2 linked regions of the Mus musculus genome follow. The protein of the gene in region 1 purifies or fractionates together with the protein of each later gene. This does not show direct contact. Links are inferred from orthologs where the notes say so. Each region holds a gene or a part of one and is shown on either strand. Other genes may lie near its edges.

Region 1 (5,183 bases):
TCAGCGAACCGGGCCTGGGGAGGCACAAGGAAAAAAAAGGGGGGCTAGAAGCCAGGCCAGGCCTAGGTCCTCGCAGGCCCGCACCCACCATCCGAAGGCTGTGGAGGAGTCACCTGAAAGGACACACAGCGGCCCAGGAGGCCCTCCAGGATCAGTTGCTCTCTGATGGCATGGAGCCGCTCAGGGCTTTCAGGGAAGCTGCAGGAGTGGATGGAATCACGCATACACACAGATAGGCAAAAGTGCTAGGGAGCATGTCTGCTCTTGTCCCATCTCCGCCCCTCACCCCCATAGCTGCTCACCCCTTACCGGCAACATCAGCCTTTCTTTGTCATTTCTGAAGTCTTTATACTTGTTTTCTCCGCTACCATTCACGCTGTTGGAACCTCCAGTCTGAGCTGTCTGCTCCATCATCTTTATGAGAACCCCTCTCTGCTTCTATACTTATTCCCCCAACAGCCCCTCCTGTATACTGAGCCAGCCAGTGGTTAGAATTCTACTACTCAAAACCCTTTTGTAGCTCCGACTATGTTCCCGGTAGAAGCCAAACTTCTCATCACACCGAGAAGGGCCTAAGAAAACCCGAATCTGTTCCCATCCCTATTCTGACTCTGTCTTTCTTACCACACCCCTCCTCTTTCACCTTGTTTCCCTGCAATGTGTTCCTTGCTCTTCAACGAAACCACATTGTCTTCAGCTAGGCCTGAGGACTTCAACGGTCTCTCACGCCTGGAAGTCTTTTCAGTGATGACTCACGGCTCAGTCCTTTAGCCTCCTCCAACCCTCTGTATCTTTGCTCAAATGTTAGCAATACCCCCTAGCTATTGTATTCCAAAGGGAAGCACCCCTTCCAGTCAAACCTCACTCTCCCTCCCACCTGAGCTCCTCCACTCTAACACTGGAGAGGTCACCTCTTGGTTACTTTTGAAGGCAGCTTTGTTTACGGCTATAGCCTCAACAAATGTACCATAAAGAAAGCCTCTTGACATCATGAGTTAGTTTTAGGTCGGGATGGGGGAAGACGGCTACTATATTTGCAAATATCAGTGTAATGATTAACAGACAATGGCAGAGGCTAGTAAAATAGCTAAGAACAGATGTGAGAGAGGTAGTGGCCAGTCAAAGGCTTCTGTGAGTCTCCATAGTTGTGAAAGTTCAAAGAGGAATCAGTCAAGGGTAAAGACCCAAGGCGAGAGGGTGACTGGCACACTGAAAGACGAGAAGGTGGCCAGCGTGCGTTAAGTGACCTGGAGCTCGTGAGGAGAGGCCTGGCTGAACAGGTCACAAAGGCCAAATCCTGTGCAACCTTAGAGGCCAGTCTAAAGAATGCCGACTTTACCTTAAGAGCAAAGTTCTGGCCTTGAAGTATTTTAAGAAAGGAAGGAAACGTCATCTCAAATGTATTTTTTAGGCTTTAATGCGAAGGCTGGAAGCAGGGGACCAGGGGGAAGAAGTCAGATAGCGAATCTATTTTAAAGATAGGGCCAAAAAGAATAAACAGATTTCTTTAAGAAGTAGAGCGCAAATAAGAGGTTTTTTCAGCATACATGTCTCCTTCTCAAGGACGGCTCCTGCTAGTTAGGCGAGGACCCTCTAACAATCTAACGTCTAGCCAAGTGTAGTGGCTCGTTTGGGAAATCTGAGCACTCGAGAGGCTAAGACAGGAGGCTTATCAAAGGTTTGAGGCTGACATAGACTACATAGTGAGTTCCAGGCTGCCTAGGCTACAGAGACCTGGAGTGCCCAGTCATTTGGTCTTCATTGAACAGTTTATACCGCTGTTGGGGGTTTAATGATCTCCCTGCACACTCACCGGCCAGCGGAGAAGGGACTTTTCTATTGCTCACATCTATCACTAAGTCTCGGCACACAGGAGACTCTTGATAACTGTTTATTGGCTTAACAGAGAAATCTTTCAAGAATGATCCCCATCTCCCTAAATCACCTGCTTCCAGACTACAGGCTAGAAGCAGCAAAAATTCACTCTTGTTTGTGAGAAGAAAGGGGCACTTGTGGAAATGTTCTAGTTTGGGGATCATTTGGAGGTGCCAGCCTCACCCACCTGTCATCCCAAAGGCAATGGAAGTCATTTAGTTGTTCATCAAACACCAATCCAGTACCAACTGGCACTCTTGTCTCAGGGTTCAGATCCTGCAGGGGCAAAGAAAAGAAACCCAGATTCACTCTGGACTACAATCAGAGAAAACACTTCATACCATCGGTCCTGGATGGGGGGGGGGAGGGGGGGGAATCACTGTTTTGTTTGGTAAAGAAGGCCAAGTTGCAGCCAGGTCTCTCTCACCAGCCCTTGAAGCCCCACAACTAGGTCCTCTTCAGCTGGTTGGCTCAGCTTCTTCATTTTGCCTTTCTTCTTTACCTCCGCTAGATTGGGGCTGGAGTGGGGTACAGCACACTTCTTTCCACCACGCTTCTGCCAATCAGACAGAAAAATCAGAGTCTGGACATGGCTGGCTGGCTTCACCCTCCACCCCCCCCCCCCATCAGGGCAGGTCTGGGGCCTCACCAAGGTGGCGCTGGATTCCTGAAGGGGTGACTGGGGATTGTGCCTACTCTTTCGCTGTCTAGTAGAAGAATCTTGGCCGGTGGAGGTCATGGCTGAAGAGCCTCAGCTCCTGGAAAGGCTCTAGCAAAGGTGTAGTTGGTGAGGCAGCTGGAGTGTCCAGAGGACCCCACATCCCTGTCCCTTCCTCGGCCCCGCCCCCTAGTCTAGATCGCAGCCTTCACCGGGTCCATTCCCGAGCCTTCTAAACCGCCCCCACCCCCCAGGCCATCTTCTGCTAGAGGAAACCTGGTCCTGTCCGGTCCCCCTGGACCTCGCTGCTTTTATCCGATTCTCTTTCCTCATTTTGCCTATTCACTAAACGAGGTAACCCCAGGCTCAATCAGGCTCTTCTTAGGCCTGCCCTACCCAATCACCGCCCCCCCCCCATCCACTTCCCACATCCTTTCATACCTCTAATCTGCGCCCGGAACGCTTGGCTTCTGCAACCTGCCCGCTTCAGCCTATTTCCCCAGAAAAATCACCCACCTTTCTAGTCCGCCAGACCGGGCTGCCGCGGCCTCGGCAGCACCTTTAAAGACTCACTCAACTCCACCTCCTGCAGGGCCGAACCAGCGCCTTCCACTCGCGCAGATCTCGCCCCGAGCTTTCCCCGTGCCCCGCTGCTCCGAGGACTGCCCCTTTCGATCAGAATCCTTCAGACCCCACCCCCTTCCCAGACGCCTACCGTTTAACCAGGCTCCCTCAGCCCCTTCCAAGCCTCCGCCCATCTCCCGCCCAGCCACCGACGCTGGCCAATCCTTCCGTCCCTACTCACTGAGCTCTGCCTCCTTTTCAAACTCCGCCCTAGGCTCACGCCGCCAAATTCCCGGCGACCTGTGTGGCCCCGGGCACCTGATCCCTTCTTTTCCATTGGGCTGAGCTTTTTCATTTGCCCGCCCACGTCCAGCCCCCAACATGGATTCAGTCCGCCCACAACGCTTCAGGCGCAAACCACACCTCTCGCGAGCTTGGCCATGGAAACTGATCATACTGCGCCTGCGTGGGGTGCTACTCCCTAGTTCGAGACCCGGATCTGCCCCTAGCGCTACCACCCCTCCCCACACACACGCACGCACACCCCACCCCCGCATTCGCCGCTGCGGTCGTTCTGACTGGCTATGGCTGCCAGTCTCAAGTCCAGGCTAGTCATCCTAGGAGACCTACGGATCCACATCAGTTGTGTTGTGCAGTGATTCGAGAACAAATCAAAGAAGCTAGATTCCCGAGCTGCTTTTGGCGTTGACGTAACTCGCGCCTGCGGGTGACTAGTTGGAGATAAACGCTAATAATAGACTTTGGCTGGTGGCAGCCAAAATGAGCGTGATAGTAAATGCTGATAAGTTTCTGAGCTGGTGGCCACTGCGATGGTATTCAAGAAGCATCCCCAAATGTTAGCTATTAATGTTCTGCAGCGGAAATGGGGACTGGAAGGAGTCTCTACGAGGTGAGGCAGGGGTGGGGCTGCTCACTATGTCAGAAAGCCCGACTTTCGTGAGGTAGTTTGCATTGTAAAGCTGCTCTGTAGACTACACACACGGGGACTTAGATTTAGATCTTGGACAGGTCACAGTTCTGTCCTGTTTCCTTACCTGGAAAATTGAGATGCTAGTACCAAGGCCAGAATGGACTTTCGAAGGACAGTGTCTCCTGAATGGGAGCTCAGCCTACCTGTCCCCCTCCACCGAGTCATCAAACTTACAGCATGTGGTGGACCGAGGAAGGAAAATTGTCCCTGTGACTCTTTGAGATGGCCATCCCTTCTAAGTATAAATCCCACAGGTGGCCGAGTTGTCCTGATCTCCCCATGTCAAGGACATCGTTTCCTAAGGACCTGTTGGCAGAGACCAGAAAGAATCCATCTGGAGTTCTGCATCACTGACTAGCAAATAGATTGACAGTTCCATACTCCAGCAGCCAGACCCTCTGAACCTCTTGCAAATGCCAGTTTCAGTCCTCCATGTTCTCAGCACAGAACATGTTCTCAGCACGGGCTATCTAAATCTACACACACTAAAGAAAATAATAATAATACCTAAAAACATTCTAGGATGGTGATGCCCGCCAGCCGAACAATAGAGACGGTTCCTGCACAACGGGGCTCAGTAAACCTTATAAAAGCTAAGATTGCAAATAGCTTAGGCTTTGCATCCACATCTAATCTTTATGATACACTTCCTTTCTTTTAAAAATGACCTTGCTTTCATGTCCAGGCTGCTTAGAACTTCTGGCCTCAAGGGATCTTCATGTCTCAGCTTTCTGAGCAGCTGGGCAACACTGTGCCCAGTTAATCTTTCTTAAACAAACAAACAAAACAGCAACAGTCATTTGGGTTTTTTGTTTGTTTTGGTTTTTCTTTTTGGATTTTCGAGACAGGGTTTCTCTGTGTAGCCCTGGCTGTCCTGGAACTCACTCTGTAGACCAGGCTGGCCTTGAACTCAGAAATCCACCTGCCTCTGCCTCCCGAGTGCTGGGATTAAAGGAATGTGCCAGCACTGCCCAGCTTAATAACCATTTGGTTTTTTTGTTTGTTTGGTTGGTTGGTTTTTTTTTTTTTTTTTTTTTTTTTTTTTTTTTTTTTGAGACAGGGTTTCTTTGTATATCCCTGGCTGTCCTGGAACTC
Region 2 (5,018 bases), on another chromosome or scaffold:
ACACCCTGATTCCCACCAGAAAGAGAATGTGAAACCACTGTTAGCTCTGAGTAGCTCCAGTGTTGTCACATGGTTCTTTTCTGTGGCTTTCAGGTCCCAGCTACCAACCAGTCGAGCCAGTTATTCCTTACCACCTCCAGCTTCTGCCTACCTACCCTGCCTTACACAACAGAGGAAGGCTTCTCACCTTGACTGCCAAGTGGTCCTCCCAGTCATTGGTGAGGCTCTTATAGAATTCGCCATACTCCTCCTGCGTGATGTCATCCGGGTTTCTGGTCCAGATAGGCTTTGTCTTGTTCAGCTCCTCCTGGTCAATGTACTTCTCTTTGATCTTCTTTGTTTTCTTTTTCTTGTCTTTGCCGCTGTCATCTTCCTCATCGGATCCCACATCTTCAATCTTAGGCTTCTCCTCATCCTCCTTATCTTCCTCCTCTTTCTCACCTTTCTCTTCCTCTGCCTCATCATCACTGATCTCCTTCTCCCGTTCCTTCTCCAACTAAATCACCAATGACACATGTAATTAATTGTGGAGAATGTAGCACCAGCAAGGCCCAGTGCCATTAGCCTGCTCCAACACTGCCAAGCCCATACTCACATAGAGGGTGATGGGATAGCCTATGAACTGCGAATGTTTCTTCACCACTTCCTTGACCCTCCTCTCCTCCAAGTACTCTGTCTGGTCTTCTTTGAGGTGAAGGATCACTTTGGTACCCCGGCCAATGGGCTCACCTACAGAGAACAAATCAAGACATGAAAAACTGAAACTAAAATACAAGAACGAACTACGCTTTTTTCGTTCCTGGTTTCTCAAGCAAGCTAAGATTCCTGTGTAGCCCCTTTGCTTGCCTTAAGAACTCACCCAAGTGCTGGCACTCACCACCCCTTAAAATGTACTTTTATAGAATACAACGTCTAAGGTTTCCCCACAATGTAGCCTGCTGCCTCACCATGGTCTGCCCGGACGGTGAAGGAGCCACCCGCAGACGACTCCCAGGCATACTGCTCATCATCATTGTGCTTCGTGATCACAACCACTTTCTCTGCAACTAGATAGGCCGAGTAGAATCCGACACCAAACTGCCCGATCATGGAGATGTCTGCACCAGCCTGCAAAGGGTTTGAAGTAAAGAGGATCAGCAACATGGTTCTTGGCCAAGTATAACCATCTGCTGCGCAAGGTAACAATCAGTTCAATGTCCAGAGATCTAGGGGTCAAAGCTGTCCTGACCAACCACTTGTACTTTTTTTCTAATAAGTGTCCTAATATGTAATACCCTAGACAGACAAATTTTAACTTAAGCAGTAACAAATTAGAGGACGGTGTGGATGAAAGGCCACACACCTGGAGAGCCTCCATGAACGCCTTCGTGCCAGACTTAGCAATGGTTCCCAGGTTATTAATGAGGTCAGCCTTGGTCATGCCAATGCCTGTGTCCACCAAAGTCAGCGTGCGCTCCTGAGGGTTGGGGATGATGTCAATTTTCAGCTCTTTCCCACTGTCCAACTTAGAAGGGTCCGTCAGGCTCTCATATCGAATCTTGTCCAGGGCCTGTAGTAAACGCAAAAAGCCAGATTATTTTATTTTTCCAAACAGTCCCTCCCCCTTCAACATCAACTGAACTGTTCTTCTCAATCACTCCCACACACACACACACTTCCGTGAAGCCTTAGAAATTCAACAACAGAATACTCACATCTGAAGCATTAGAGATCAACTCGCGGAGGAAAATCTCCTTGTTTGAATAGAAAGTGTTGATGATGAGGGACATGAGCTGGGCAATTTCTGCCTGAAAGGCAAAGGTCTCCACCTCCTCCTCTCCATGGTGCACTTCCTCAGGCATCTAAGAATGAAAGAATTACTACTAAGGACCATTATAGACACACATTTTAATATCCAGCTCAAACTTCTTTAGTCTGGGAAAGTATCCAACCCAAAGAGACAAGAGCAGCCATTTTCTTTAAAAAAGGACATTTAAGCTACAATGGCCAAGACAAAAATGACAGAAAAAAACCTAAAAGATGGGTTTTCCAGAACAGATGCCCAAAAGTCAAACTCTTGAACATTGGCATGTTCAGTGCATAGCTCACTGACTCTGAACAGAACACCTGGCAATATGGTAAAAATCCAGACTAAGTTAACAATACATAAAAAAGAACCTCAAGCAACCCCTGGTACTCACACCCCTTAACTACAATCTCCTCATTGGGGTGAGGAACAACTTTAACAGAAAAAGCAGTCTTTTTTAATTTTTATTTTATTCCACCCAGCAGGGCAAGAGAACCTTGAAGCTGTAGTCTGGGAGGCGCTCACGGGGCAATTAAATCAGGACAAAGAAATCAAGAGCTCCACCGTGACCACTCACTGTGCAGACTTGCATAGGCCGGAACCCAAGTAAAATGGTGGCCCAGCCGTCCAACGACCCTCGTCACTGCCGGACATGCGTCGGCAGGAGCCACACGGGGAGGGGGCGCCATTGAAACCCTCCCACCGCCCCAGCATCCGGGCACTGGGGCGGGGCGCCCAGGCTTCCAGAACAATCTGAGCTCCGGGGAGGGGAGGAGAAAGGGAGGGACCTAGGAATCTTCTCGTGCCTGCTCTGTCTCTCCTCCCCCGCCCTCCACTGGGAGGGCAGAAAGATCTGGAAAGGGAAAGCGCGGTGGGTTCCGGCGTCCCTGCTGTGCACCCCTCCCCAAAATCAAGCACGTTGGTACCGGCGGCGTCCGGGGGAGGCAGCCAGGCCAACCTCCCCAGGCCTTGCTGAGTCACGCAGAGCAGCCCGCCACCGCGCGGACCCTGCAGCCGCGCCCGGAAGTGGAGGGCAAACATGGCAGCGTCCCGGGTCGGCGACTACCACGTGCGGCCGCCCACCACCTGGCCGGGCCGCACCCCCACCCCACGCTCCGGGGAATCCACCCGCCCCGGGGAGCCTCGCGTGCAAGCCCGCCGGGGTACAGCCCGAACCTCTAACCTCTAGACACGTTATCTCCACAGGCTGCCCCGCCGGGGAAGGAGGCTTTGGGACAGATGAGATGGAGGCTGGGACCCCGGGAAGAAGCCCCCGGAGAGCCGCCGGGGACGAGAGACCCCGGCCTTACCTTGACGGGAAAGCCGAGTAGTAGTACAGAGCAGGGTGGTGGGCCCGGACCAAGTCCGACTCGCACGGCAAGCCTAGGCTGCGCGGGGGTGACTCAAGAGAGCTCCCGAACGCCCCCGACCGCCCTATATAAGGCGAAGCACAGCCCGGGCCCCGCCCTTGGATCCCTCCGCCTTAAAGGAGTGGCTGCGGGCCACGCACCTGCCGCCGCCCGCCCACCTTGACGTCATGGTAGCAGATCGTGGAGGGGGCGGGGAGGAGCGGGACCCCGGGCCTGGTTCCTGAGTCAAGGCCAATTCAATATCGTTTTGCACATCCCCCATTTCTGCAGGAGTAGGACATGTCCCCCCTCAAGATGAGCAGGGAGCATGCATATGCAATTAGGGATGTATCTGCGGGCGAATACCCTACGGACTGCCTCAGAAAACTCAAGGTAGGCGCTTCCACCCCCCCACCCCCCAAGAGTCCAGAACTCAGGGGACTGAAAGAGAATGGAGGTGGCCAACTCGGCTGCCATTTCCAGACCCGATCTTACTAGAATGTTCCCTACAAATCGCACATCAAGAGAAAAGGATGATAAATTCCTTGTCCAACTTTAAGGAGGCCCCCGATTCCCCCATCCCCACCCTCCCGGGTACAGCACAGCTTCAGGCTGGGAGCCGCTTTCCCCGAGGGGAGGGGCACGGGCCTGGGCTGGTAGGGACTCTTTGGCGGCCTGCGGCGGAAGGATCAGCAGCGGTGGTGCTGCGATTTCTTCCAGCAGTTTCTAGGCCTGTCTCGGCGGTCTCCACCCCTCCCCCCTAGGCTCCACCTCCCCTGCTGCGGCGGGGGCAGTGTCTTCGTCGCCGCTTGGCTGGGTGGCTTTTTTTTTTTTTTTTTTTCCCCTACCTTGATCTTACCCTGGGAAGAAATTTTCCCCAAGTCTGCCTACCGTGGGCCAGGGTTGAACGACCCTCCACGCGTGGCCCTAAGAGGCCCACATAACAGTGGGGGAGTGGAGCGCAGAGGGAGGGATAGCTGACCTGGATCGGTCACAGGGCACGGGGGCTGTGGGGGTGAGTGACTGCGGACACCTTCTAGTGAACAGAGAACCGAGCTAGCAGCTTGCGCTACTGGGTAGAACACTCCCCACCCCTCAGCCTCCCCGGTCTCCCACGTACACAGCGCGCGGGTACGTGCGCCCTCCCTATGTGAGCACAAGCTGTTTCTCAAGCTGGTTTCGCTTCTCTAGCCTCTTCCCTACTGCATGCAGCTCTTTGGACCTAGAGAGGAGCAGGTCCCAGTCTTTTCAGAGAAGCTGGAGTTCTAGGCATCCGCATGAAGGTGCTGGTCACAGGTTGGCCCAGTTCCAGGAGCCAGAAAACCAAGTTGTGCCAGTGCCTCTGTTCTAAAGGTGGCCTGCCATGTCCTTCAGCTGGCAATCTAGCCTTGCCTTTTTCCAAGGCTGCATCTGGAAGCTTGTTGGACTGATGAGCCCTCCAGTAGAGGATGGGCACTCAGTGCTCTGCTATCTTAGCTCATGCTGGCTTGTGTCCCCACACCACCGCCCACACCTTTGTTCCCGGTGCTTGCCTGCAGTCTGTCTAATGTGCATTCATTGTTAAACAGTAGTTGCTTTCTCCTTGCCTCTGTCTACTTCGTCTGTTATCATCCCATCCTGCACTGTCTGTTAGCCTCTCCTTAATTCTGTGTGTGTGTGTGTGTGTGTGTGTGTGTGTGTGTGTGTGTGTGTGTGAAGCCCATAAAGAAATCAATATATGAGGAGACACTGGGTAGGATTGCTCAGAAGGCCCTAGGGTGTTGCATTGATTCCTAATCTGAAACCAGAAACTTCAACACTCAAACCCTCTCAGCAAAAGGAGCCTAGCTGATCCCTGGGCTGGACATTTAGCTCCAGGGTAGTGTTTCCCTAAGACCCACCAA

What was found. Proteins that work in one complex are often made in the same cells at the same time.
Region 2: the proteins of Hdac6 (region 1) and Hsp90ab1 purify together in Homo sapiens (affinity purification with mass spectrometry, with the first as the bait; 4 studies listed by BioGRID). This does not show direct contact. The link is inferred for Mus musculus from reciprocal best matches to the Homo sapiens genes HDAC6 and HSP90AB1.

Annotation. Positions count from the first base shown.
Region 1 is NC_000086.7:7,944,601-7,949,783, forward strand, and holds the start of Hdac6 (histone deacetylase 6), read right to left. Parts: upstream 3,290-5,183; 5' UTR 3,050-3,289; exon of another isoform or gene 2,975-3,049; intron 2,645-2,974; 5' UTR 2,615-2,644; coding exon 2,525-2,614; intron 2,432-2,524; coding exon 2,303-2,431; intron 2,152-2,302; coding exon 2,063-2,151; intron 199-2,062; coding exon 114-198; intron 15-113; coding exon 1-14.
Region 2 is NC_000083.6:45,570,071-45,575,088, forward strand, and holds the start of Hsp90ab1 (heat shock protein HSP 90-beta), read right to left. Parts: upstream 3,192-5,018; 5' UTR 3,097-3,191; intron 1,842-3,096; coding exon 1,695-1,841; intron 1,550-1,694; coding exon 1,343-1,549; intron 1,108-1,342; coding exon 948-1,107; intron 730-947; coding exon 596-729; intron 497-595; coding exon 188-496; intron 1-187. UniProt on the Homo sapiens protein: Molecular chaperone that promotes the maturation, structural maintenance and proper regulation of specific target proteins involved for instance in cell cycle control and signal transduction. Undergoes a functional cycle linked to its ATPase activity.